Solanum lycopersicum: one gene and its partners. Each later gene encodes a partner of the first gene's protein in a complex. Links are inferred from orthologs where the notes say so. Each region holds a gene or a part of one and is shown in the gene's direction. Other genes may lie near its edges. The genes, in order: serine/arginine-rich splicing factor SR45, serine/arginine-rich splicing factor SR30, serine/arginine-rich splicing factor SR45a, serine/arginine-rich splicing factor RS2Z32, putative serine/arginine-rich splicing factor, U1 small nuclear ribonucleoprotein 70 kDa and suppressor of mec-8 and unc-52 protein homolog 2.

Evidence for each region.
Region 2: serine/arginine-rich splicing factor SR45 (region 1) and serine/arginine-rich splicing factor SR30 share a complex: the UniProt entries of both Arabidopsis thaliana proteins name them as parts of the spliceosome. The link is inferred for Solanum lycopersicum from reciprocal best matches to the Arabidopsis thaliana genes SR45 and SR30.
Region 3: serine/arginine-rich splicing factor SR45 (region 1) and serine/arginine-rich splicing factor SR45a share a complex: the UniProt entries of both Arabidopsis thaliana proteins name them as parts of the spliceosome. The link is inferred for Solanum lycopersicum from reciprocal best matches to the Arabidopsis thaliana genes SR45 and SR45a.
Region 4: serine/arginine-rich splicing factor SR45 (region 1) and serine/arginine-rich splicing factor RS2Z32 share a complex: the UniProt entries of both Arabidopsis thaliana proteins name them as parts of the spliceosome. The link is inferred for Solanum lycopersicum from reciprocal best matches to the Arabidopsis thaliana genes SR45 and RS2Z32.
Region 5: serine/arginine-rich splicing factor SR45 (region 1) and putative serine/arginine-rich splicing factor share a complex: the UniProt entries of both Arabidopsis thaliana proteins name them as parts of the spliceosome. The link is inferred for Solanum lycopersicum from reciprocal best matches to the Arabidopsis thaliana genes SR45 and SCL28.
Region 6: serine/arginine-rich splicing factor SR45 (region 1) and U1 small nuclear ribonucleoprotein 70 kDa share a complex: the UniProt entries of both Arabidopsis thaliana proteins name them as parts of the spliceosome. The link is inferred for Solanum lycopersicum from reciprocal best matches to the Arabidopsis thaliana genes SR45 and U1-70K.
Region 7: serine/arginine-rich splicing factor SR45 (region 1) and suppressor of mec-8 and unc-52 protein homolog 2 share a complex: the UniProt entries of both Arabidopsis thaliana proteins name them as parts of the spliceosome. The link is inferred for Solanum lycopersicum from reciprocal best matches to the Arabidopsis thaliana genes SR45 and SMU2.

What each region holds. Positions count from the first base shown.
Region 1 is NC_090809.1:751,335-755,356, reverse strand, and holds the start of serine/arginine-rich splicing factor SR45, read left to right. Parts: upstream 1-1,222; 5' UTR 1,223-1,322; coding exon 1,323-1,555; intron 1,556-2,737; coding exon 2,738-2,812; intron 2,813-3,303; coding exon 3,304-3,392; intron 3,393-4,022. UniProt on the Arabidopsis thaliana protein: Involved in 5' and 3' splicing site selection of introns, and may bridge the 5' and 3' components of the spliceosome. Isoform 1 is required during flower petal development and isoform 2 is involved in root growth.
Region 2 is NC_090800.1:85,834,309-85,838,386, reverse strand, and holds the start of serine/arginine-rich splicing factor SR30, read left to right. Parts: upstream 1-1,278; 5' UTR 1,279-1,379; intron 1,380-2,286; 5' UTR 2,287-2,333; intron 2,334-2,513; 5' UTR 2,514-2,518; coding exon 2,519-2,602; intron 2,603-3,236; coding exon 3,237-3,302; intron 3,303-3,896; coding exon 3,897-3,971; intron 3,972-4,068; coding exon 4,069-4,078. UniProt on the Arabidopsis thaliana protein: Regulatory splicing factor that modulates alternative splicing and gene expression in specific cell types. Autoregulates its own expression. Probably involved in intron recognition and spliceosome assembly.
Region 3 is NC_090805.1:50,114,495-50,118,448, forward strand, and holds the start of serine/arginine-rich splicing factor SR45a, read left to right. Parts: upstream 1-1,154; 5' UTR 1,155-1,277; intron 1,278-2,159; coding exon 2,160-2,182; intron 2,183-2,256; coding exon 2,257-2,334; intron 2,335-2,407; coding exon 2,408-2,519; intron 2,520-2,682; coding exon 2,683-2,832; intron 2,833-3,214; coding exon 3,215-3,278; intron 3,279-3,363; coding exon 3,364-3,954. Other genes in the region: PCNA (proliferating cell nuclear antigen), read right to left, coding at 1-101. UniProt on the Arabidopsis thaliana protein: Probable splicing factor involved in constitutive and/or alternative splicing events. May bridge the 5' and 3' components of the spliceosome.
Region 4 is NC_090804.1:67,964,612-67,968,824, forward strand, and holds the start of serine/arginine-rich splicing factor RS2Z32, read left to right. Parts: upstream 1-1,413; 5' UTR 1,414-1,521; intron 1,522-2,405; 5' UTR 2,406-2,410; coding exon 2,411-2,517; intron 2,518-2,935; exon of another isoform or gene 2,936-3,167; coding exon 3,168-3,207; intron 3,208-3,355; coding exon 3,356-3,451; intron 3,452-3,878; coding exon 3,879-4,075; intron 4,076-4,172; coding exon 4,173-4,213. UniProt on the Arabidopsis thaliana protein: Probably involved in intron recognition and spliceosome assembly.
Region 5 is NC_090800.1:76,026,055-76,030,020, reverse strand, and holds the start of putative serine/arginine-rich splicing factor, read left to right. Parts: upstream 1-1,166; 5' UTR 1,167-1,292; coding exon 1,293-1,444; intron 1,445-2,932; coding exon 2,933-3,010; intron 3,011-3,966. UniProt on the Arabidopsis thaliana protein: Involved in intron recognition and spliceosome assembly. Probably active at the 5' splice sites.
Region 6 is NC_090801.1:64,630,852-64,634,543, reverse strand, and holds the end of U1 small nuclear ribonucleoprotein 70 kDa, read left to right. Parts: intron 1-1,136; coding exon 1,137-1,218; intron 1,219-1,292; coding exon 1,293-1,440; intron 1,441-1,884; coding exon 1,885-1,953; intron 1,954-2,134; coding exon 2,135-2,774; 3' UTR 2,775-3,192; downstream 3,193-3,692. UniProt on the Arabidopsis thaliana protein: Mediates the splicing of pre-mRNA by binding to the loop I region of U1-snRNA.
Region 7 is NC_090806.1:9,685,499-9,689,487, forward strand, and holds the start of suppressor of mec-8 and unc-52 protein homolog 2, read left to right. Parts: upstream 1-1,189; 5' UTR 1,190-1,405; coding exon 1,406-1,455; intron 1,456-1,552; coding exon 1,553-1,693; intron 1,694-1,776; coding exon 1,777-1,826; intron 1,827-1,935; coding exon 1,936-2,053; intron 2,054-2,409; coding exon 2,410-2,458; intron 2,459-2,557; coding exon 2,558-2,647; intron 2,648-3,162; coding exon 3,163-3,231; intron 3,232-3,319; coding exon 3,320-3,443; intron 3,444-3,989. UniProt on the Arabidopsis thaliana protein: Auxiliary spliceosomal protein involved in splicing of specific pre-mRNAs that affect multiple aspects of development.

The sequences.
Region 1 (4,022 bases):
ACTTCTCTACGAGAAATATACTTGTACAGCTCTGTATGTGCTTTGATTATACTACTTCTGAACTTCGTGAGCTTCATCTGTTATAAGCCTAAAGTACGCGTGGTGTTAAGACCTTGTTCATTTTCGCTCAACCAGAGTAAGGACATTCGAGTCATTGCCTCTTGTTGCTGTCCCTGCTTTGATTGTTATCTGTATGTCATACATAGTCCACATTAAGGAAACAATGTATATATAATGGCTAGTTTACTGATCTTTGTTGTGAGCCATAATTTGCTGTGTGGTGGCTGGCATTAAGTAATGGTTTCCTATAGCTCAAATTACATCCTTTTTAGGATGTCATTTCCTCAAAAAAAAGTCTCTCAACTATCTCAAACTCTTCGACTTTATATTACTTGTTGTATACATTAACCTTTACTTTGAAGTTTCATGTTCAAATCAAATTTTTTTTCTATCTGTTCAAATCTTAATGAATATAGTTGATAATTATTGATCGAGATATGCGCAACATTATTAAAGTGGTATTAGTCCAAATGCAAACAAATAATTTGTCTAAATGTGTACGAACTAGAATTAGAAAATCAAAATGGCAAGTGTATTAGGAAATTTAGTATGTGTATAGTCATTTGTTAATTAATAATTCTTTATTTAGTATGGTTTTAAGTTTATGTATGATTGATCTATGTTATTTAGTATTATATGGTATATAACTAAATAATACTCTTTCTGTTTTAAAAAAAAAGGCCTTTAACTAGGAACGGAGTTTAAGAAAAAAAAAATTTAATGTTGTGATTCTAAATTAAAATTATGTCAAATGTATCAAAATGCCCTTTAATCTTGTGGTTTTAAATATACCACGTGAAAAGTTAAAATTAAAGTGTTACTAAAAAAGGAAAGGGGTTATTCTTTTTGAAACAGACTAAAAAAGAAACAGGGACATTTTTTTTGAAATAGAGAAAGTAGTAAATTATCGTATTAGTTATACAAAAACTATTTATACATAAATAAACATGATTAAGAACAGAATTGCTGTTAGTATATTTAATCAAATTATAATTAAAAATATATCTAAATATTACTAATCCAATTATTACAATATCTAAATATTACTAATCCAATTATTACAAAATATTTTACTAAACGATCAATGTATACTCTATCAAACGACTCGTAAGTCCCAGTGAATACTCTTTGGGGATACAGCCCACTTCGGCCCATTTGTTTTTCGGGGCTAGAAGCTGATAACCTTTTTGCCCAAATGTACTCTGTCGACAGTTCTCTGTTATTAGGGTTTATCACTGGGGTTTCGGAGTAAGCTGTTGCCAATGGCGAAACCAGGTCGAGGCCGTGCGGCTTCACCGTCAGGCTCGTCTTCTCGTTCCCGGTCTCGTTCCCGTTCCCGGTCTCGCTCTTACACTCCTTCAAACTCTCGCTCCTCAAGTTCGCGTTCTCCATCTCGATCTAGATCCCGCTCCAGATCAATTTCTTCATCTTCCTCTGCTTCCCGGAGTGCAAGTTCTCGCAGCCCTAGTCGTCGCCCTCCATCTCAACGAAAAAGGTTTTTACTCTCTCTTTCAAATGTGTATTAGTTGCATAATGCATTTCTGTAGTAATTTCCCGCTTTTTCTTTTTTATTACGTGATACTGGTAGTTTGAGATTCGTATGCCATCAGAATGTCTGATGTCGGAGAGTTAACTTGCAAACTATAGAGGAGAAATAAGCCCAAATATGCTTTAACTTCTTTGAATTGAGGTGAAGTAGTTGCTGCTGTTGGTTAATGTGCTTATGGCTGCTTGAATTATGTTAGATTTGCGAGGTTTATGACATAGAAAAGTCTTATGGTTGAAGTAGAGTCGGGCACAAGTAGCACCAAGTCGCATTAAAATTGCTAGTTGCTGAATCTGAGTCTGATTGTCGTCTGGTTAGATATAGAATGGATATATGTTCTGTAGTTTTGCATCTCAAACATTATATAGGTCAAGAGGCTATTTTTGCTATGTAATTCATAGTTGTTCCATACCTTTCCACTGTCTGAAGAGTGTTAAGCTGTGTCCTCTAATTCCTGGGCCATGTGACATAATTCTCTGCTGCACTTCGCTTCTGCAAGTGCAGATAGCTTATATTTGATAATTTATGGCATTTCCTGCTGCTTTTCTTAAGTTATTCCAACATGCAAGTAGCAAAACTAGAATATTGGTTGCATCGGTTTTGCTTTTCTTGCCTTTCTTCCATTTAGACAACAAGAAACTGATTTCAATCCTCCGCGACTGTATAAAATAGAGTTGGAAACACAACTCAAGGGTGTAACACAGTGGTGAAAGAAGTGGGCGAAAATCTTGGAGACCAAGTTTCAAATCCAACAGAGACAAAAGACATTATGTTATTTATTTCTTTCCATCTGTCTAAGCTAGATATCTAAGTATTGATAGACAGAGTCATCCGATACGTGAGGTAGCAGGTACTTGCTTGTGGAGAAGTTGAGGTAGGCACATGACTGGAATAGAAAACTGGAAACAAGATATACTATGGTTAATCTTGAAGATTGGCCTCTTTTTTGTCGTCATATATTTTTGTTTATTTGTTATTGAGCTTAGACAGGTTGGACTAGCATGAAAATTTCTTGAAATGTTGCTGTTCTATTAGTTTTCTATCTTGCAAAATAGCTAAAGTACTTCACCAATCGTCCTATTTCTGAATGATCCTAAACCCTATCCTTTATTGTTTATATGGTTTTGTTAGCCCTGCTGGAGTATCTAAGCGAGGCCGCTCGCCGCCACCACCACCAGAGTCTAAGAAAGCTTCTCCACCTCCAAGGTAATGTTGTTTGTTTTTAAGCTGAGATTCGACTTTGGTTTATTCATTGAATAACTACTTATAAACCTCTTCCAATAACATCCAAATTTCTGTTTTTTTTGGGGGGGGGGATACCTTTCTTTTCTTGGTTTGTTTTTCTCCTCTTCCAAATGAAATTAACATACAGTAGGGTGCTGGGTTATTGTGAGCTATTTTGAATGTGGACTCAGTTGCATTTATCAGATCTTTTTTTGGAGAATGCATTGCAGCTGGACACGATTGTTCATAAATGATTTCGAATGCTCTTCAATTCCTTTCCATCCCAATTACTCAGACATGCGTGCTGTTGGTGCAACATTCAGTTATGCATCACATCCATTTTGGATGCAGTTGATAAAGATAGTTACTAATACCAATATCTTCTGATGATGCAAAAATGTTACTGCATGTAGCACTTCTGACATATGCATTGATAGGCTTTTTGATGTGTAACACTTGGGATCTGATTCCAGGAAAGTATCTCCTATACCTGAGTCGCGTGTAATTCATGTGGATCAACTCAGCAGGAATGTCAATGAAAACCATTTGAAAGAAATATTTGGTATGTTCTGCACTTCTTTTTGATTAGGTGAAGTTTATTTTGCCTGAGTTGTAGAAATTCTACACTAAGCTAGGGTTGTAACTGTCAACTGATAACCCAACAGCCCGTCCAGGGTAAATAGCCCATTATATCAGGTCCATACAGAAGAACCTAACAGAACTGAAATTCGGTTTGGTATTTGGTACTTCAACAAGTGAAGAGTCTAAAACCAAAGAATTGAACGCCAACTTCTAGTTCATTACTGTGAAATGGTCCAACCTTTTGGTTATAGATTCTATTTATTCTGTTTATTTAGCCTGGTTATATGTCAGACGTTCTAGTCTAATCCTGTTATTATGAGTTAGTTGACGAGCACAAACACACTATAGATTTAGCGCTTCATGTTCTCAAAAAAAAAAAAGAACTATAGATCTAGCGCTTCACTAGTCAAAGATAGTATAGCATAAAGATCGTCTCCACAGAGATTGGTACAAATAATAATTCAATCAAATCTTGCTAATTGTTATTTAGGAGATCAAGAGAAGAGAGTTGGTTGTGGTTATTAACCATGACTATAGACTATTTGTAACTTTAAGCAATTGGTAAATACCATGCTTAATAACAATTATAGAAGATAGGGTACAAAATGGA
Region 2 (4,078 bases), on another chromosome or scaffold:
GGCTTAGTTGAATCCCAAAGATAGAGTTGTTATTTATTATTCCGATTGCTCATGGGAAAGACTCTAACTATCTTCAAGAAACGTATTAACGTGTCTCTAAACCAAGCAAAAATTATTTTGTATTCCTTGTAATTTTATTATTCTTGTTCATTTGTTCTAACCGTTTCTTATTAGTGGGCGGCAATTGGAGAAATTGATATGAATGACTTGTATGGTCAGATTTATTAGTTTTTATTCAAACTATTTGTAACCATTTGAATTGAGTTGTTTGATCATATTGTGCTCTCATTACTTGCTTATGCTATATTTTTATCCTTTTATAAGAGTTCACCATCCTCTCCCTTAACCAATCATTATGCGTATATTCTAAGCTAGATTATGAATGTATTATTAAGAAAATGTGAATCTAAAATAAAAAGTTCGATTAGTTTGGTATTTATGTTTTAAGTATTAAAAAATTATTAAAGTTTTAAAAATATAAATATAAAATTATTTTTTATCTATCCAAATCACTTAGATAAGAGACTTTACCTAATTTTTAAAAAGAAAAACAAAACAAGATAAATAAAAGGTTCAAATTTCTAAATTCACGTGCATCTAATCATCACACGACACTATATGACGTTTCAAATATAGATTTACACATCTATAATTAAGTACTTTTTAACTAATATAACACTACTATATTTGATTTAAGAATAAAGAACATGAATTCACGTGAACCCACTAACCCCTCCTAAATATGCCTCTGGTTCTAAGAATTTCTATGCTGGTGTTTGCTTATGGCATTAAATAATAATTAATTTTATATTTGTAGATTAATGATATCTATTATATTAATTAAATATTAACCTTTAATTCTAAGGACTTGCTTAAGATAACAATGATAAGACACATGAAGAAGGATCAATTATCAAATAGTTGAAAACAACAAGAAAATTTACTATGCTATTCTTGACAAATTATTGAACACTATTAATTCAGAAAAAAAAAATTTACTCTCCTATATTTATTATAAAATCGAAAGATAGGTGAGAGAAGAATAATTATAATCTAATCCTAAAACACGTATTTTGCATATTTGATTTCTCATATGCAGTGGATTTTGTTTTTGAAAAAATAACCACCATTGGAAAAGTATATTTTATTTCCCACTTATCTTATTCCTTATGAGTTACTTTATCATTAAAATATTCAAAAGTGTCCTAGGACAGATGTCATGTATCGACGTGTTTAGATTTAGGAAAGTTTCTAGACGTAACGTTCGATAGCGACTTTTTTTCTCCTATATATAAAACTATTTCTATTTATTTTATCAACTCTAATCTTCTTCCATTTTTTGCTTTCTACGCAACCTGTCGTCGTTGTATATCTTCTAGGTTAGCTGCTTCTCCTTTTCTTCTCCTAATACAATTTATTAGGTCAAAATAACATGCTATTATTTTTCATTGCTTCTCTGTTTTGTCTATGCAAAATTCTGTTTTCTATGTCACACATAATTTTTGATTTCCTAGTTCTTGAAGAATCTTTAGGGTTTTTCTATTGTTTTTTATGCGATCATAATCAAGAGCTTATAATAAGAACAGTTTAAATATATAAAGGATTACCTATCAGTAAAGAATTTCGTTGAATTTCTTGATTTCCGTCTCCCCGTACTATTAATCGGCGGTTATTTGAGTGTTTGGCACGTTTTTTTTTTAATGGAAAATAATTTTCTAACGTATGTGTTGGTGTGATGACTATTTTCCCTAAAAGTTAGTATTAGATATTAACTATCCATAATATTAAAAATTTTGGTATTGTTCTGATGAAACTTTTAGGTATAAATGTTGATAGTAAGTGCAAGAAAAATGACTTGAGAGTTGAGTCATAAATGATCGGAAGTTATTTCTCCCTTTTGATGGAACCTGTTGGAAAATATCTTCGGAAGTTATTTCTTTGTATATCTGATGTTAGATGTGACTACTATTGCTGACGAGCATAATCTTTAAGAATTGATTTAGATTGATAAGTTTATGGTTTTTGCTACTCGGATTCTATTTTGATTTTGGTGTTCGTAACTTATTCTTTATGTAGAAAAATGATTTAGATTGATAAATTTATGGTTTTTGCTACTTGGATTCTTATATTCTATAAAACTTCATTTTGATTTTGGTGTTTGTAACATTATTCTTTATTTAGAAGCTTTTCTTTTACAAATCAAGAACTGTTATAGTTTTAAGATTATCTTCTTGTATTTTGTTGCGATGTTACTTTACTTTTCTTCTTTGTTTTATCCTTCCTTAGTTTGGCCATTCCTTAAGTCTTTCACGGATGAGTTACAGTCAACTTTGGTAAGCCTCTCCTCCCTCCAAACCAAAAAAGAAAAAGGAAATAAACTTCTCTTATTTGCATTCTTGACTGTCTACATTACCACTTAAATCTTACTTTACTAGATAAATTAAAAAGAATTGTCCACATTACCACTTCCAATGTTTGAACAAGCTGCTTATTTTTTTGGGTAATGATTTCAGGCAATATGGGTCGTCTAAGTCGGACTATCTACGTTGGAAATCTTCCTGGTGATATTCGGGAGAGAGAAGTAGAAGATTTGTTTTACAAGGTTAGTTAGATAAATTACTAGTTGCTGGAAAAATACATTGTATCCAATTTCATGTGCTCGCTATCACTAATCTATACATTTACCTTCAATTTGTTGCTCCTTTTGTGTTCATGCCACCTAAAAAAGCTACAATAGGTTTCATGAGAAGTTGTATTTTTGGATGGATCGGAGGATGAACGAATTTGATTAACACAGAGGGAAATAAGTTGCTCCTTTTATCCAAATCACGTTCTAATGAAAGCGTAATCATCTTCTTTTGCTTTTTTAGAGTGTGAGAATACTTGTTTTTTCCTCATTTAAGTTTAATCTCTTCAATGGTTCGGACCTATTCAGTGAGCTTCCATTATTGTCACAGTACTCATTCGGCCTTTCAGTTTTCGAAGTAGCTCCTGAAAGCCATCTAATTTGGTACTTTTGGTGTTCTTTTCCTAATAGAGAAGCCACACAACTTCGCAATGCAATATAAATTAGACATGTTTTAAGTTTATTGCTCAAGTCTTTCTGTCATTATGTTAAGTAATGTAATTGCTTTTGGTTGATTCCTAGGTAGGTTTCCTTGAGATATATTATAAGTTATGGATTTTTTTGATGTGTATTCACTTACCTTCTGAATTTTCTCGGTGATTTTCTGCAGTATGGTCCCATTGTGGAAATTGATTTGAAAGTTCCACCTAGACCACCTGGTTATGCGTTCGTAGAGGTGAGTTCTTTTCTAAGAGTTGAATCACTAAGATGTTAGTTTTATCCTTGGGAATCATTCTATTAGGGGTTTTGGAGATATATCCCCACATAAAAATCAACTTTAGTTTACACAATATTTGATTGGAGTTTGATCTTAGTCTCCACAGAAAAGCAAGAATTACTTAATACACTGTCTAGTTGTTCCCTTTTGTTTTCGTTATAATAATACATGCATGAGTTATGCAGGAATCATTTTATGTGGGATAGAATGAGAAATAAAAATATGTGTATCTGTAATGTAATACATGGATTTAAAAATGGCAAGAATATCATTCATAATAGTTCTTTTTTTTTAAAAGCAAACATATGTTTTAAAATTATACACATATACTATTAATATGTAACCTGATCAAACTAAATACCAACAAGAAATAATCTGCGTTATGCAATCCTTGTATTCTTAATCTTTACATTACTAATCCTGGCGTAAGTGGCCTCTAAACCAAACAATCCCTTATTGTATTGGGAGATAGCTCAATTTTCTGCATGCGTTTCTTTATGCTACAGAATTTCCGATAGATCTAATTGGTGTCATTCCTTTTGTATTTTCCAGTTTGAAGATCCTCGTGATGCTGATGATGCCATTCGTGGGCGTGATGGCTATGACTTTGACGGGCATCGCTTGCGAGTTAGTTGTCTCACACCCTCCCCTCCTCTCTTGGTGATGTGGTGATGTGGGAAGTCGGATCGTTTTACCATATTGTTGTTTATAATTATCTTTGTAGGTTGAACTTG
Region 3 (3,954 bases), on another chromosome or scaffold:
CCAGTGGCGGAACAATCAAAGTTCGCATCGTTCACCAGATCCTTAATCGATTCTAGAACTTTCTTCAGCAGACTTCCCTGAACAAGACGTAGTTCCAACATTTTGTCCTCTGCGGGAAACTAGGGTTAGGGTTTTGAAATGGGGAAGGAGGGAAAACAGAGGTGTCTGAATGAAAAATAGAGCGAAAATGAGTGGAGTAATGGGGTTAGGGTTTATATAGCTGCTGGAAAAGTGTGCTCGAGAATATAGGGCTCCCTATTGGCGGGAAATGAATTGTCAGAAAATAAAATAAGTTCCCGCCATTATTTTGATTTTGGGCTACTTGAGCCCATAAATCAATTGGGCCTGCTTCGAGAAAGGCCTTGGGTTTTAATCTCTCATATTCAAATAGAAAAAATTACGCAACAAAATAGATTTATACTATTAAAATTACTTATCATAGTTATAATTTACTATAATTATCACTCGTAATTAATATTATACATTAATTACGTGAACTAATTTTGAGTTTGTATAATAGTCACGTTTGTATATGTATAATTCGCCAGAATATACAAATACATATGTATAATATATAATTATTCAACCTATATATATACAATTCACCTCTCTCCCCTCTCGCTCGCCTCTCTCCTCACTCTCCCAATCTCCCTCACCTCTCTCCTCCCTTTTCCAATCTCGCTTGCCCTATATACAAATGTATATGTATAGCATACATTTACACACACATACAATTCACCTCTCTCCCACTCTCTGCCCTGTCTCGCTCGCCTCTCTCCTTCCTCTCCTAGTCTCGCTCGCTTCTCTCTTTCTTCTCATTCTCTCACTTTGCCATATATACAAATACATATGTATAATATACAATTACTAAATGATATACATGTATATTTCACCTTTCTCTCACTCTCTCCCGGTCTCGCTTGTTTCTCTCCTCCGGTCTCGCTTGTTTCTCTCCTCCATATAACACATAGTTACGAATTATAATTATTAAACTATAGTTATAGAGAGTAATTAGCTATTTTAAATGACTATATACGAAAATTTCTCCATTTAAATATGGATAGAAACAATTTTTTTTTTTTTTGGTTTGGTAGAATAATGTGACAAATTCAAGTCCAATCAAAAAGGATTTCGTGTCCCTCATCTAGAAACTTCTTTACGCTACAGGTATATAGTAGAAAGCCTTTCCCAACCGAGTCATTTTATTTCGAGAGCCTTCGCAAATTAGAGAGAGAAAGAGAAGTATTTCGATCCTACGCTACCATAATCTCTTCACGGTGAGTCTTCTTTTTCCATCTCTTAATTCCTTTCTTCGATACGAATTAGCTAAAAAGCTGATGAGATTGTATGTCATTTGCGTTTGTGATCGGCATCAACGTTTGATTCAAATTGAATTTTCTATTACCTAAGCGGATTAGATGATTCTTCCGTTCATTTTTTGCCCAGAACATAGAGAACTAAACAGTCTCGGTCGATTTTTGGTTTATTGTGTATTTTTGTCTTTGAGTTGATTTGTGATTTTGTTGTTTTGACATATAGCAATTAATGCTTTTCACACTGATCCTTTTGAATTCCAGTACATCCACGGGAGCATAAATATATATAGATGTGTAAAGCGTTACCAGTGTTATAGATTTAAAGTCAGAATTAAAGCATAAAAGTGGAATTGGTTCAGTTCTATTATCCTTATATAAAAGTTTTAAGTACTTGATCCGCCTCTATTTTTATCAGTAGCTAATTGTTGTTGTCTGCTTGGTTTGACAAATTTCAAACTATGATCCTATCGCATAGTTTGTTATCCTTTAATCACCAAGGAGAACTTTACTTTCTACTTTTATGATTGCTGGGATTCTAGAAGCTAAAAGGTAAAGTAATAGAGGAGAATATAAGATGGGAATTAGGAAACCTTTAATTTAAATCAAAAGATAAATTGATGTTCCGTTATTGAAACGGAGTAGACAGAGTGAGGCAGAGTCGATTTAGAGGAATTATATTGTCTGCATCGGTTAGTTTTGTATTGTTTGACAAATCAGTGATCTTGATTTGATGGTTTTACTTACTATATATCTGCTGGGTTTGTGATAAAACACCCTGTTTTATCGTCTTTCTTCTCAATATTATTAGCCTAAGCTTACCATTCTGTTTGATGTTAACTGCAGATGTCGTACTCCAGGAGGTCAAGGTATTGTTGGTCTTAATATGGGTTTTATATGGTCATTATTCCTAGTCATGTTCAATATGACATTTATATTGCAGGTATTCTCGCTCACCTTCATACGATCGATATAGCAAGTCTGTCTCAAGGTCCAGATGTGTTTCAAGGAGTCGGTCAAGGTACATGTTGGCAATGTTCTATTAATATGGTGGTAATTAGAGTTCATGTTATTTAACTTTATTATAATGGCAGGAGCTGTGATTCAAGTGATGTTGAGAACCCAGGGAACAATTTGTATGTGACTGGTCTCTCAACCCGCGTTAAGGAGCGAGATATTGAGAAGCATTTTTCTGCTGAGGGGAAGGTATGTTTGTTGCTTCTTCAGATTGCCTTCCCGTTCTCTGTAGTCAGTTCATTTAGGTCTTTTGCACTTTATTCAAAAGAAAAGAACTCCGTAGGATTTGCTCCCATGTGCGTTCACATTGTCGAGGATATCAACCTCATTAAATGCTTTTTTCTCTGGTTAGGTTGAAGATGTTCGTCTTGTTTTAGACCCATGGACCCACGAATCTCGTGGGTTTGGTTTCGTGACGATGTCCAGCGTTGAGGAGGCTGATCGCTGCATCAAGTCTCTGAATCGCTCAATACTTGAAGGCAGAGTTATCACCGTGGAGAAGGTAGAATTTATTGAATATTTGCTCAGTTTTGTTGAATCTTATGTTTGCAATTTTCGCTGGTATCAGCTCTCAGTTGTATCAATATCTTATATTTGCTTCAGTAATTTGATCAGTTTGAAAGTTGTTTGCTTGTTTCGCCTGAGTTTCTTTGGCAGCAAGGTAGCTGTGTGTAGCAGCTCTTCACCAAAGTCCAAATAACAAATCAAAACACATCAAGCAAACAGACTGTCAACCAGAGGGTTGTAGCCTTCATTTTTCTTTATTCAGCTGCGCCCTTGTTGCTATTGTTCATTTTCTATTGGTTACTTATATCGTGATATTGTTATATTGCATCAACCTGCCAGAGTCTAGATTTGCTGTCTGACAATTGTATCCTATGCAGGCCAGGAGGAGAAGAGGTAGAACACCTACTCCAGGAAAATATTTGGGGCTTAGAACTGTTCGCGGTATGATATTGTATCCTTTCCTAAGCAATAATTGACCTGGGTTATTTGTCTGTGATGTCTTCTAATTTCCACCTTGTAAATGTAGTTCGTCGTGAATCACGAACTTATCCTCATTATTCAAGGAATCACTCTCCTTGTTACTCATCTGAAAGCTACAGGAGCAGGAGCAGGTCTTACTCTCCATATTACCGACAAGAGCATAGATCATACTCTTATTACAGAGGACGCCAGAGATCTCACTCATCGTATTACAGTCGGCACCACTGCTACTCAGAATCACCTTATTCTCCTTACTATAGTCGTGGAAGATCTTACTCTCGATCTTTATCCCCATATAATGGGCGTGATCGGTCCTACTCTCCAGATGACTGTTATTACAGAAGGAGCCGTTACCATGACTATTCTCCCGACAATCATCGGCGTGATCGTTCCTATTCTCCAGATGACCGTTACTATAGAAGAAGCCGCTACCGTGACTACTCTCCTGAAAGCCATGATCTTTCAGACTCTCCAGATGTTCGTGACAACAGAATGAGCCGCTATCGCGACTACTCTCCGAACAACAGTTACTATTATCGAAGGAACCGATATCGTTCCATTTCTCGGAGCATTTCTCCTCGGTATCGGAGAAGCTACTCGCGCAGTGTATCACCTAGGTGGTCAAAGAGGAGCTATT
Region 4 (4,213 bases), on another chromosome or scaffold:
TTACAGATATCGATTTGGTAAGGAACTACAGTATAATATATGATTCGAAGCACAGAATTATTCAATGTTAAAGAAGAGATTTTTGATTTATGAAACTAACGTCGGTAGAGAAAATGAAATACGGAGATTTGTGTGTGTATATATATGGCGTAACTTGATTTTCAGTCGAAAAAAAATTCAACCCGATTGACTTATTCGGGTCGTAATTTGTGGGGGGGGAGGGGGGGTCGTGTTTGAGTTTTTTTTTTTTCGCATTTTAGATGTTATAATATATGATTGAGTCGAGAGAGGATGTATTCGAAATAATATTTTTATCATAAGTGGATAAGTAATCTTTATTTATATTATAATATATATCCTTCAAGTCTCAATTGTGTGACTGAATATTAATATGATGTTGTTGTGTAATATATGGTTAATTTATTGATTTCGTAAATCTGAATTATGAATTTTTAACATTTTTGATTTATTATGTTTTCTAATTCAATTTTTTTGAGATAAAATGTATGGTTTTAGAATAGATTATATATAACGTTATTTATACGAAAGACACTTAATCAATACAACGATTAAAAATTCTCATTCATATTATGCAATTTTCGCTTAGAAGAATAATTGAATATCACAAAAATAAATGAGATGAGAAAAATGAACATTGACAAAAGCTTTTAAATAGCTACAATAGTACCAAATATAATAAATACAAATCGATATACATGAATAAAGTGAAGGAAGGCGCACATATAATTTGCAGATATATTCTTTTTTTTTTTAATTGTTTTAGTGTCACGTGTTAATTCATGCGTTTTATAAAAGAGATTGTCAATCACGTGTATAGTGAGAAGCTATCCTTAATAAATGTTTGACGTTCAATTAGTCAGATTCTTAGTTTATATATATAAACAAAATAGTACTATAATTTTCTATTGTCTGAGTTTGAGTGAGAAATACATCAAGATTTTCGTGTGTTTACTCATAATGCTTTTGTTTTTCGTATAATGGATCTTGGCTCGCACTTTATGGAATTTCCACTGGGAAAAGAATTCAAACATTTCTTATGTACCTGTGATGGAAAACGTTTGAACTCTATCTCTTTTCTTTTCATTCTATTTTGCTTTCGTTCTCTTTCTTATGAATTGTTATCAGAAACGGTAGACTGCGCAGAAAAGGATTCAGGTGGAAAAGCGTATACCTTCTCTATATCCAACAACAACTAAATAAACGATAAACTTGTAATTTCTTAATTTCGATATAGATTAGATGAATACATCAAAATCGAATATTCGTGCATTCCGATTTCCGCCCGAGAGAAGAAAAAAGAGGAGGAGGTTTCACATTTGGGAGAGAACTCAAATGGGCTTAGAGTTAGAAGCCCACTCCATGAAAACAACATAACAATAAGCCCATAGCTGTTGAGGCCCAAACTTTAGTATATAAATCAGAGAGAGACCACTGTGCTATACTCTTTTGAACGAATTGGATCTAGGGTTCTTACATTTCTGTGCCTTTTTCAATTTTCAGGTAAGCGATTTGCGATTCAAAACCCTTTTTTCTCATATATTTTTGATAAAAATAGCTTTCTTCATCATAATATATGTGCCTGTGCATAATTCATCTAGAAATTGGTATTAATTCCGAGTAATTTGGATGAAATTTTGTGTTTTTTTGACTCGGAATATTCCGTAAAGAGGTGTTTTTTTTGTTACTAGTTTTGTTTTATGTTATATAGATATGGCGTTTGTGCTAAATTCATTTGAAAAAATGTAATTGAGCTGTTTTTATTATATACGTGCTAATTGGGTAGTTTCTTTTGGTATGATGTGCATTTGTAATATGTATGTGCTTTTTGACTTTGAAAATTCATTCAAGATGCCTTTTTTGGTTTTAGTTTTGTTTGATGTATATTGAGCTGGCATTTTGTGCTAAAGTGATTGGAAAATAGTAAAGGAGTTATTTTTATGTTCAAGAGATCATATAATATGGGAAAGGGGCTAATTTGGTAGTTACTTTCAGTGAAGATGTAGTGGTTTGATGAGATTTTGTATTATATGTGTTTTTTGTAGTTTCGTTTGATGTTTTATTGAGCTGGCATTTGTGTTAAATTCATTGGAAAAAAGTAATACAGCTATTTTTAATGATTAAGAGATCATATAATTTGGGAAAGGAGCTAATTGGGTAGTTTCATCCGGGAAGATGCGCTATCATGAAATTTTGTATTATATGTTCCTTTTTGACTCGGATAGTTCATTCGTTAGGCATTTTTTTAGTTCTGATTTCGCTTGATATTTTATTGAGCTTTCATTTGTGCTGAATTCATTTGGAAAAAAAAGTATATGAGCTAAAAACAAATTTATGTTAAGAGATAGTATAATTAGGAGAGGAGCTAATTGGGTAGTTTGTTTCAGAGAAGATGCCGCGGTATGATGACAGGTATGGTGGCACACGCCTATATGTTGGACATTTGTCTTCCCGGACGCGATCTCGAGACTTGGAGGACGTCTTTAGCAGATATGGGAGGTAATTTTTTAACCATTCATTACTTTTATGCAGTGATCGGAAAGTTATTGAAATTTGAGTAATTGAATATTGAGATTCCAAGAGGATAAAGATTGAGCTTTTAGTTGTTTAATTTTGTTAGTGGAATGAAATACGCCTAAGTAGAGTAGAATAGATATAAAAGATTCATATGGTTGATCTCAACTTGTCTGGTATTAGGTGTTGATTGATTGATTGCTGTACTTGGTGATTATTTTATTGTGATCATTTTTTAGAAATGATGTTGCTTCTAGTAGTTCACAGTCTTTGTTCTTTGGGGGTGGAGATGAGACACACTAGTCGTTACAGTGACCTTTGTTTTATTTTTTTAAAATTTGTAGAAAATGTGAGAGCAACACCCCGTGTCTTGGTGTTTTTAACTCGAATAATGTTTATGAAGGTTTCTATGTTTTTGCCCAATCCGGAGGTTTGTGGTGGGAGGTTGCCCTTGATGAATTGGTTCCCATTCTTGCGGAGTGTGGCGATTCTTTCTATAATGTTATTGCGTATTTTTTTGATGGAAATGGCACAATCCAAAAAGTGGTGTTTAGTTCATCTTTGAGGGGCGAAGTATCAACCCTTTGGTTCTTATGACTTGATGGCCTTACTGTTTCTGGAACCCATTTACGCAGAGTACGTGATGTGGATATGAAGCGTGACTATGCTTTTGTGGTACGCCTTTCTTCTTCTTCTTTTTTTCCTTTTCTGTTCACTTCTTCATTAATGATATTTCTTAGGGTTGTAGGGTGATCATCTAATCCTTGTTTCATATATTTGTGATTTAAGCTTCTTTCTTTTCTTCATATACTGCTAAATCTAGGAGTTTAGTGATCCTCGAGATGCCGATGATGCAAGATACGGCCTAAATGGGCGAGATGTTGATGGAAGTCGTGTTATCGTGGAGTTCGCCAAAGGGGTGAGTAAAAGTTTGGATTTGATATGTGTTCGTAACTGCAATATGCATAGTATCTTTATGTTTTATTTTTGCAACTCTAGCAAATTACACTCACATGGACATGTGCATTTTGAATATCAATGCAAAAAAAGAAAAACCAAAAAGAATTTCAGGCTTTATGCCCAATGAGTGGGAAAATATGGTGGAACTCGATTATTTCCGAGATGATGCTTCAGTTCTCAATATAAGTATATTACTCTACAATTGGCATGTCACAGAGGGGAGAAAGAAGATCTTGGTTTATCACTTTCGTTGAAGTAGTTAAGTTGCTTCAAGGATTTGTTTTCTTGGTATTTTGAGGAGTTATGCACGCCTTAATCTATCTAATGCTTCAGATTGGTTAAACAAAAAGCTGTCCTTTTTATGTTGGAGTTTACTTGCATCGCAGGTGCCTCGTGGTCCAGGTGGATCTCGAGAGTTTGGTGGCAGAGGTCCTCCTCCAGGTACTGGTCGTTGCTTTAATTGTGGAATTGATGGACATTGGGCTCGAGATTGTAAAGCTGGGGACTGGAAGAACAAGTGTTACCGCTGTGGAGACCGAGGTCATATAGAAAGGAACTGTCAGAATAGCCCCAAGAAATTGAAGTATTTTCCTAGTTGCCACCTTATTTCACCCTGTGTATTTTTTGATGTTCTAGTATACTTTAATGATTAAAGGTTATTATTTGTTTTTGAATGACAGACGTGACCGAAGTTATTCCCGCTCACCATCTCCTCGGCGTG
Region 5 (3,966 bases), on another chromosome or scaffold:
TTTGTGTTTTTGTATAAAATGAGAGAGGCGATTGAGCAAGCTAAATCCGAGAGAGTGGCGAGCGAGACCTGGGAGAGGGGAACGAAAATATATGTATATATACAATTTTCTCTCGCTTTATGCATACACAAACACATTTTATACATTTGCACATTTGTATAAAGTGAGAGAGGCAATTGAGCAAGCGAGATCCAGAAGAGTGGCGAGCGAGATTTGGGAGAGAGGAGAGAGGGGAACGAAAATATATATATATACAATTTTCTTTCGCTTTATACAAACACAAACATATTTTATACATTTGCATTTTTGTATGAAGCGAGAGAGGCGATTGAGCAAGCGATAACTGGGGAGTGGCGAGCGAGATCTAGGAGAGGGGAACGAAAATATATGTATATATACAATTTTCTCTCGCTTTATTAAAACACAAACGCATTTTATACATTTGTGTTTTTATAAAAGCGAGAGAGGCGAGGGTAAAAACGAGAGTGGCGAGCAAGATTCACCAGGAGGGAGGTGAAATAACAATAGTTTGCTATGTGGTACAATTAAATCAAACTACAGTTATAACATTTAATTTTCATCTTTCAACTTGAATTTATCATAAAACTAACAAATTTCACAAAAATCAAGTCATTCTTTTGCCATTATAATTTTTAGATACGCTAAAAATATTATCGTGAACTTTTTCGATACTTAAAATTAGCATTATGCAAAATCTTTTAATTTGACTGTTGTTTTCATTTATCTTTCATGTAATTTGATGTTAAAAATTATATTAGTTGAAATATTTTTTTTCTCAATTGAATAGATTAGAAACGACGTTTGTTGGATATTTCACTTTTAATAATGTAGAACGAAACTCAAATGCAAGACATAATCACTTCAATATTAGATTGACTCAAAGATTTATTGATCTAAATACCATTTAACTTTGAAAAAGGTAAAGATAATTAAGCTCCAAATTCTTTTTGTTACTGAAAGATAAGACATTTGTTAATAGTCACGTGATGAACTACTCATATTTTTATAAAATTCCTTAGTTTTTTGACCATATTTAATGAAAAAATAAAAATTATTAACTTTCAAATTATCTAAAAATGTTTTTGGCCAAGAACTCTCGTAAGGACCTATTATATGCTTTACATGAAAGAAGGGGGCGTTTTGTGTATTAGTTCAAAAATAAAGGAAAAATTTATTTTTCTCTGAATCGGAGAGGTGAGCTAGGGTTTTCAATTCCAAGTAAATTAAACGAGGGTTTTGGATTTTCTCTTCACAGAGAGAGGACGAGGGTAATGGGAAGGTACAGAAGCCGTAGTCGGAGCCTTAGCAGAAGTTACAGTCCCGTGAGACGTAAACGCCACGATGAACCACGTGACCGGCGCCGAGAACGTCGCTCTCCGGGACCTTCTGGCCTTCTCGTTCGTAATATCCCCCTTAGCGCCAGGTATGAATCCTCTTCCCCATTTTACCTGGTCCAGATACTACCCCACCCCCAAACATTAACATAAATTATGGCAATTCTCTTTCTCATTTGTTGTTGTTGTTGTTGTGAACTCATATGCAAGTCACAGTTTCCCTATCTCAGTGATTGAAATGCTTAACATGCCTTTGTCTGAAGTAAATGGCTTATTAGGCGTTTAAGGGAGTTTTCAAGTGTTATGCCTTTTGTGCTTTTCAGGTTATTATTTCTCTAGGTATGTTGGTTAACAATGAGTCTCTTTCATACAGGCCTTTAATAGCTCATGCATTTGTCAACCAAAATTTGATTTTTGAGTTATTTCAGTCCTCATACTAATCCTTCTTTGTATATATTATAATGATTTTGATTATGAGAGCTCGGTTCGATAGAGAAAACTTCAGATCAAAGTTATCTATTGAAATAATAATGTAACAAATAAATTGGAGTTCTTGAAAGTTTTATTGAATGGATAGAATGGTGTTAAATATTTTGGGACATCTCAAAATCGAAAGAGCTTTGCATCCTTCAACTTGAGCTCCTCTCAAACCATAAAAGTTCTCCTGAACTTATCTCAACAACATCACTCTGATTTGAATTATATTATCCATCAAATACATTTTTTATTCTCATAGTAAATTAGGGAATAACTTCGTCAAAATAATTGGATCGATTGGCAAATTAGCACTCTTCCAACACTTACTATGCTATATTGGATCTAAAGAACAACATATCAATGACCTGTTTAAGTTCATCTTTTTGACTTGAATTTGCAAAAGATAATTATGAATTGATTGATTAATCAATCAACTCAGTGTCGGACAAAAAAAAATATTATGTAAGAACCAGTGTTTTCAAAAACGTTTTTGGGCGAGTCTTGGGGCGGGGCGTACCAAAAATGCTCTGGGGTGTAAATTAAAACATATATCCAAGCGTAAGTCCTGGACATAAAAATTTAAGTCTTGGGCGTAAAAGCTAATTCCTCAACATCACAATTAAAAGCTAATGTTGAGGAATAAGCTATCTTATCTCCATACATTTATACACATGGGCTATAAAGTTACTTATTTGTCAGATGGCTATAGACCTTTTGTAATTATAGAATATGAAAAAAGAAATGAAATTGCATATTTTTTATAGTGGTTTCTGCTTATCAGTGAACTTGGGTTAATAAAAGATTGCACACCCAATTTTTCTTTAGGTTGGGTAGAGTAGTTTTCATTTCTATTTCATTAACGGCTTGCTCTCTCTCCCTCTCTCATCAAATTTTGCTATTTTCTTTTAATAACCGTGGTCTCTGAGGTAGCTTTCGTGCATCGACTAATTCCACAAGATATCTGCTACATCCCACTAGCAACAGATACTTAGTAACTCTATTTACCAAGGGTGGACAGAGAAAGAATCACCTAGTTTTCTTCTGTATCTGTTGGGATTTGAACCTGATACAAAGTTAATCATTTTGTACTTTTTCTGCAGGCCAGAAGATCTTAGGGTCCCCTTTGAACGCTATGGTCCCATAAGAGATGTTTATCTTCCCAAGAATTATCACACTGGGTATGCCATTACCTTGATAGATGGATTCTCATTTTGTACTATATTTAGCAAGTAATGAATCTGTTTCCTCTATGTCCCGTTATCTGTTGATATCACCATGATCAATAACATCACAATTAAGCCTTGATACCTAGCTAGTTAGTGTTGGCAGTATGAATCTTCATTATCTTACTATCCTTTTCGTCTCGTATAGACCAGTGTCGTCAAAAGCAAACAGTGCAAAAAGCTCTGAGTGTTTGGGGCTTGTAGCACAAATCGCTAATAAAATGTGAGTTTTAATGGAAAAAGGCGCAAAGGGTAAACAATACAAAATATATATGTTTAGTTTAAGACTAATAGCTAGAAGCATGAATGATAATTATATGGTCAAAAAAGCTGAAAATATTTATCACAATAAAGTGAAATGTCCATTGTTTAGTGTCACCTTTTCAAAGAAGCTCAGTGGCAAAGAAAAGTATGTCTTGGAACCTTGATGAATAAAGTGAAACGGACATTAAGCGACGCGACGGGCTCAACACTTTTAAATTCACCTTTGAAAACACTGGTATATATGTCTCATTCAAATATCAATAAATGAATGTTGTCTACACCTTTTATTTACATACAGATTTTGCACCACAACTTCAGAGTCCCTAACAAATATTTGACTAGGTGAGTTTATCAACAAGTTTAAGCTTTAATCTCGACTACTTAAAATCACTTATTTGTAATATTCTCTTCGTGTGTGCTCTAGAATATACATTTTTTGGAGACAATTTAATGCCATATTTTCAAGTCTACCTCGTTCTCTTTTACATCTTAGAGATTTACGACATATCTGGCCAAATCATTGCAAGCAGCTTTCCCTCACTTTCATAAATTGATAAGCTTTACATTAACAGTCAGCATATTGCAACCCTCCTTCTTGACTGAGTCTAAACCAGGCAACTTGCAATGTGAGCTCATCATGATATTTT
Region 6 (3,692 bases), on another chromosome or scaffold:
CATTCTGTGTATAAACTTATAGCATGGATTGCACTTCAGTATTTTGATAAGAACTTATTGAATTCGGCAGTTGTCTGTTAAATAATAAACTGATTAGCTCTCGACTTTCTTAGTGCTTCAGATCATCAAAAAACACGTTTTATCCGGAGAACTTTTTTTTCAATTGTATCTTTGGGTGCATCTCTTCAGGCTGTAGTTAAGAAATGGATTGTTTTTTAAACTGCTAGCACTCTTCCCTGGTGTTCGAGGTGCATACTGCTCTCTGAAAATGGGTGATTTTTTTTGTGAAGTTACTAGTTTTTCTTTGCTTTGTAAAATAAAGGTCAGATTGCCAGTATGCCCTTCCTCAGGTAACAGTACTCCAATTATTGAGTATCAGTTTGATGCCTTTATCCTCTTATCCTGGTTTGGATATCATTAGTTTCAAGTACTATTCATTCTGGTATTCCTTTAGTTTCTAGAACCACAAAGGTAAAGATGTTCAACTCCTAGGTATTTTCCTGGTAAGGGTAAAACTTAATTATCTGGTAGCTTTATGTTTTTTTGAGTTGCCAAACATAACCATTCAATTTCCAAGTCCGAGCTACATTACATGAAACAAAGCTGAACACTTAGATGAGCAGAGCAATGATGCAATATATCTTTGGCCTCTTATTCCAAGCAACACCGGAGATTGATACTTGCCTTTACTTGGTAAAAAAACTGTTGGGAGTATCGACCTTTTCTCTTCTTTACTCTTCTTACATCCCATCTATGCTGCTAAGATTTTACTTTTGGATTCAAAGGCTATCAAAAAAGTTTCAAGCATTTCAGGAGACACCTGGTATTTGACTATACTTCTATAATAATTTATTTTATTTTAAAATGTTCCCTGGTAAGGGGAGTTAGAATATATTGCAAACATAAGGCCACAGTTCTTGTGCAACTCTAGCAGTGATGGTGAAGCATCTCGCCTGGGAGCTCTTTGATTCAAAGGTGAGCACGGCTAATTAGGCATAGTGCCTGCCGTGCCATTAGGAGCTTACTATACCTAATCGCGTTGAGTAGATAAAAAACATTAACTTTTTTGACCGCTGCATCGAAAATGATTATAATGTTATTAGTAGTGTCAATTCCATAAATTGTTTGAGTTTCAGGTTCGCTTGGTTATGGACAAGACAAACAATAAACCCAGGGGTTATGCTTTCATTGAGTATGTGCATACACGGGATATGAAAGGTTTCTCTAAACTCCTGTTCTTCTGTCTTTTCGAAGTCTCACTTCCATCTCTAATTCTTTTGGATATAATTCAGCTGCGTATAAACAAGCTGATGGAAAGAAGATTGATAATAGAAGAGTGCTGGTTGATGTAGAACGTGGTAGAACAGTCCCCAATTGGCGTCCCCGCAGACTTGGTGGTGGACTTGGAACAACAAGAGTTGGAAATGAAGATGCTACTAGGTATTGCATGAACTTGTCATATGTGCATTGCATAGTGCTATAACGGACATTGATCTCAGCTCTTCTTTAGTGCAATAATGGTTCCTGTAGTGTCTATGGAGTAAGAACGCTATTTTGATAGATACAGCAAGACATGTTTGCTTGTAGTTGACATGAACTGCTTTTTTGAATTTCAACTCATCTTTTGGGTTATATGGATGCTTCAGTTTGTGTTTTTTTCCCTATAAAGGACTTGCTGCTCTGAGCATTTATGTATGACGTCTTGCTTAGAAGTTGAATTTATTATTGTTTGGCATTCAGTTTGATAATTACTCGTAAAATGTTCTTAAAAGTAGTTTTTTTTTTGTGTAGTTGCCCTCTTGGTATGATTGTAAAAGTGAAAAGCTTAAATTCTTGGATGGAATTTTAATTATTGAAGACTCTAATACTCCTTTTATTTTTCAGAGAGGTGGTTCAGCCTGGAAGGGCAGCATCTCGCTCTGAGGAGCCAAGAGCACGAGATGACAGGGATAGGTAACAACCTAGGCATTTATAGCTTATGCTTGCTTTGAGTTTCTTTCTCCCAATTTGACTCCCAGACAAATTTCTACTTCTCCAAGGATGAGTTGTCTGATTTACTACTCTGTTTAGTTTAAATGTGAGTTAATACTATAATGTGTTTCACGTCTAATACAATTATGAATTCCCATATTAGCAGGGATCGGGAGAAGTCCCGTGAAAGGGTGCGAGATAAGGACAGAGAGAAATCTCGTGAGCGTTCTCATGACAGGCCAAGGGAACGTGAAAGAGATGACAAACATCATAGGGAACGCGAGAGAACCAGAGAAAGAGAAAAAGATCGTGGTCGTGACCGTGATCGAGACCGCGAACGTGATAGGACACGTGACCGTGAGCGAGGCAAAGACAGAGACCGGGATGGTCACCGTGAGCGAGATCGTCACCGTGAGAAGGACAGGGAAAGAGGTAGGGATGAAGGTGAGGTTGACCAGGGTCGTGGGCGTTCTCGTGATAGAGAATATGATTATGAGCATGTTGATTCAAAACACGAGCGAGACCGACACGGTGACAAAGAGAGGAATTATGATCCTGCAGAACCTGAAGATGATCATGGACATTATGACTATTATGATCACCACCAAGGTCGAGGAGATTATGAGAATCCAGATGCACAAGGTGGGGATGATCGCTATAAAGATGCCAGTCGTGGTCATGATCGTTATGATCAAATGGAAGAGGATAATTATGCTTATGACCACGGGGCATCTGAGACAAAAGAAAGGGATCGGGATTACAAGCGTTCAGATAGGTCACATTCTCGTGAATATGACTACTGACGATGAAGAGTATGCTTCAGCCTGTGTTGCTGTGGTAAGGTTGCAATAAAATCCACATGCTATGTAGGTACTTTTTAATTTGTCAGTCAATAATATTGCTGCATTAGACTTGTCTGAATTTTTGACTCACAGGAAGACATGGCCTACTGATACCTCAGTGAAAATGCAATTATCTGTTGGATTACCTACTTGACTAGTGCGGGGATGGAAACATTAAAGATGATGATGCGGCGCATCAGCCCATGTTTTGAATTTTGTATCTTCTTTTGGAATTGTTTGGTAAATTACTTGCTGAGTTCTAATGTGACTTGTTAAATGCGAATTTATTGGGGATGTGTGCGCGGTAATGTGTTTGTTATGTGGTATTGTATGTTGAACAGATTATTCGCTTATGTTATGGTATTGTGGCACTTTATTATGGATCTGTTTTTGGGTATTATATCCGATGATCAAAATAGTCTTGATATTTCTTCGAGGGGGCTGGAATCCTGTAGAATAATAATAAATTAATTAAATTGTCCAGCGTCTAAATTATTTAGAAAATTGTAGGGATATCTTTATCATGTCTTTCAGGCTTCAAAGTAGTTATAAATGTGTGAAATGGATTTCGTTCTTATCCTTTAACCACAGGTCTTTGAGTTTTGAGTGAGATGTCTCTACCTTGCTGGGTCGTATGCTCTGTATATTTATGGATGGTCAGAGTTTTGATAGCCAAGAAGTATAGTTCGTTTACATAAAATGTTGAATAGAAAATGCTTGGAGTTCAGTAGTTACCAATAAGTACGCCTTACTGACTTTGTTCAAAGGCATGCTTTGTTTTGTACGAGTAAAAAGAGTTTCATATAAATGACATTTATATCAACACGATTTACATGTCTGTGTGGCCCTTTAATCTATTTCCCTTACATAATTAAAATG
Region 7 (3,989 bases), on another chromosome or scaffold:
GGTGATGAATAATTGGTGAAGATTCTCCACAAATAACATAACATTGAATCAATAAAACCACATTTACTTCATCAAAAAAAAAATCAATAGAACCACATTTGTCCAGATTCCGACAGTCCGTAGGTGGCATCGTGGTGCAGCTGCTGAAGGAAGATGGGGAAATCTAACCAAATGTGAGGTTACGGAGTGCGTGACGAACCGTCGTATTCATAACGATCCGTCCTGCTAGTTCGTCATGAAGGTCAGAGAAGTAGTCCAGTACCCAAATTCCAAGAGTTTAAGTGTTTTGGAACGGAGACCCTCGACGGACCGTTGTGCTTGTGACGATCCGTCATATCTGTCGTTGAGGATAATGAAGAGAGCAGCAGAAGAAATTGAACAAGTATGGGATGACGGAGTCCATGACGGTCCATCGTGACCACGACGATCCGTCGCGAGGTTCGTCGACCCAGCCGCGTTTTGACAGATTTCCAGCAAATAGAGTCCTTATGTAATTAGTTTTTTTTTTTATATAAATTGTTCGAAAAATCTCCTTTGTAAAGTTTAAGTGCAATGGTAATCGTAATCAAAAAGGAATTGTCACAAAAAGTTACCAGAAGACCATGCAGCCTTTCTCTTTTTCGTTTTTCCTTTTTAAGAAAAAGACAATGGATCATATACAAGAGTTTGATATATCAACAAATAAAAAAATATAAATAAGAGGACATTACTTCCTCTATTTGAGACGTATGGTGGCAAAATTGTGAAGATGTTTGACATCTTCTTCTTCTTGTTCTTTTTAAATCTTATTTTAATGTAGTAACAATTTTTTAATTTTATATTAGAAAAAGAAGAAGAATAGGAATAAATAATGTTTTAGCAAAGAAATCTTTTTTGATGTTTTAACAAAGAACCTTGTTGCAAAGAAAGTGTAAAAATAAATAAAGTGTAAAGGGTATTTTTGTAAACATACATTTTTTAAATAGAAATTATGCAAGATTTGTTTTTTCTAATACATCAAACCAAACAGTGTATAAAAAATAATAATTGCATAACTAATGCAAGCATTACTAATACACCCTATTTTGCATTATTCTTATACACTCTATCAAACGACCCCTAAGTGTATTAGATGGACATTATATATATATATATATATATATATATATATATATATATATATAACACCATTTTCTTATCGATTAAATAAAAAACGCGCTCATTAGATTGTCAAAATCAATTAGTTAAAAATTGATAGTGTATATCTTATTGATTTGATTATCTTCACAAATCGAATAATGATAAATCGAAACAAAAAGTAGGAAGTTAGGGTTATTTTAGTCTTTTGGGGATGTTTATATGAGGTTGATTGTCTTCTTCGCTCGTTTCACCCTAATCTGGAATTTTTGGGAATAAGGTCTCAATCATGTCTTCTTCAAAGCGAAATCACAAGGAAAAGATTGTTCGTCGCAACAAGTTTGTTTCTCTCTTTCATCTTCGATTATGTAAATCTCAATAGATCCTTCTTTAATTTGCTGAAAAATGGGGGATTTTTCTATTGTTTTTGTTACAGAGAAGAGAAGGTTGAAGAACCGGAGTTACCAAAGTACAGAGACAGAGCTAAAGAAAGGAGAGAAGATCAAAATCCTGATTATGAACTCACTGAATTTGGTGGTTTTCATGCTGTTGCTCCTCCCGGGAATATTGATCTCCTGTAAAAAAAAAAAAAACGAAACACCCATTTCTCTTTTTCTTCGTTTAATTTTGTTCTAACTTTCTTGTTTTGAACTTTTACAGCTCTGCTGATGCTCAGAAATTATCTATTGAGAAGAGCAAGTATCTTGGAGGTTCGTATAGTCTGTGGTTGTACAAGAATATTTTTTAGTTTCAGTTCAGCAGTTTTCTTGATATATGGCTTCAGCTAATCAATCCTTGTTTTGGCTGATTGTAAATTAGGTGATGTGGAACATACACATTTGGTTAAAGGGTTAGATTATGCTTTGCTTCACAAAGTGAGAAGTGAAATAGATAAGAAGCCAGAAACTGGAGATGAGGCGTTAGAAGGAAAAGCTAGGTAAGTACTAGGTTACTTTATTGCTTAGTTGTATGTATGACTCATTTACTTCAACCCCAGGAATAAGTAACTGACTCTCCAAGAGCCTGTTAGTAATTTTCAGCTAATAAAGTTGATCCATGTGTAGCTCCCATTGGATAAGACTGTAGCTTTAGATAGGGAGTTCTTTTGTAGATGCCCCTTTATATGTTCTTCCATAGATTACCCTGATTTAGGGACACTCTGCTAACATCTTTTTGTGTATATGCAAAGTAATGAGCATATTTAGTGAATTGTTCTTTTGAACACCATGTCTAAGAAGCAGTGCTGCTGGAAACTGTTCGATTAACTATTCTATTTATCCCTTTTGCTAATAGAGGTGTAAAGGAAGATCATCAATTGTCATTCCGTACTGCAACTGCCAAGGTGCATTAACTCTTTCAATTGATTTCGTCTCAAATATTTCTAGTTGTTGCTTGGTGTAGTTATGTTTCAATAGAGTGACTAGTAAGTTTGGGGTTTCAGTCAGTATACCAATGGATAATCAAGCCTCAGACTGTTATAAAGACCAACGAAATGTTTCTTCCTGGACGGATGGCTTTTATTTTTAATATGGTATGTTTCCCTTTTATACTTCCTCTGCTCTTATGTGTTGTGTATGCTAGGTTCTACTTGCCTGAAAAGGAATTATTTCACAGACCATTAGTTGAGTCCTCTTATAGTGCGCTTAGACTTGAGATGTAATAGTAAACAAAATTTTGTACTTGTGATAGGTAGCTGAGAAGCTTCTATTTCTATATTGGATCATACTTTTTTTTTTTGGGCAAAACTGTAGTTAACTGTTGATGTCACGCTAGAGTTTAGCTTGTATGGCGGGGGTGAATAGTCTTTTCCTTCTGAAGGCCATTCTTTTTCTTGGAGGAAGGTGGAAAGGGTGTTGTCGGAAATTAGATGCTAGAATCGTTGAAGTTGATTTATTTTACTACTAAAATGTTTGGTGATCAGATGTGTCATATGGAATATGGATAGTGAAGAAGATGTGAAGATTTTGTTCACTTGCGGTTACTGTGTGTATGTTTTCTTTCACGGTCTCTCTTTTTCTTCACTTATGGTTGATGTGTATATTGCAGGATAGTGGATACTCCAATGATATTCCTACAACTCTACACAGAAGCAAAGCTGACTGTCCAGTCCTCGAGGTATTTCCCTTTTCCATACTGCATTACTGTCAGGCAATTTCTTCCTGAATTTTCCATCTGAATGGGTTATCTCATCTATATTTTTCAGGAAATGGTTACAGTCAGTGTTGATGGTTCTGTTCTAGACCGAATAGCTAAAATCATGTCCTATCTCCGTCTTGGATCATCAGGAAAAGTTCTCAAAAAGAAGAAGAAGGAAAAAGATAGCAAAGGTGCTTAGCGTTCGTGCCTTCTAAACCTTACTGTATTTTCTGAAAGTAATTAGAGTCACAATGTGATGTAGATTCTTATATATCCAGTTTGTTTTATGGGAACCTTTTCTCTAATTTCCGACTGGTGTTGTTGCATCCTTGGTAGGCCTATTAATATTATTGCTTACGAAAGTGAGTTTGGGCCTGGTTTCCTATAAAGAAGTACAATAGAATGTTTTGTAGCCGGGATAGAATGTGGGTTATTCTTCTTTGAAACCGGGGCACAGGGTGTAATTGAGTGTGAAGGTAGTTGATAACTAGATATAGTATGATTCTGTATTTCCATGGAGACTAAAAAAGAGCATTTTGGTTCTCTGGAGTCCTTATTATGTGTTTCCAACACTAAGTATACCTTGCTTCTTTTTCCTTTTTTCTGGGCTTTTGGATCTTCTTCTGTCACCTGTACATTAATGAAGAGCTGGGGGAGGGGGTCCCTTTTGCCCTTTTCTTGTTCTTTTGTTGGTGGTGAGTTATCTCTTCTCTTCATTGATAAGGAGCTGCACTTCT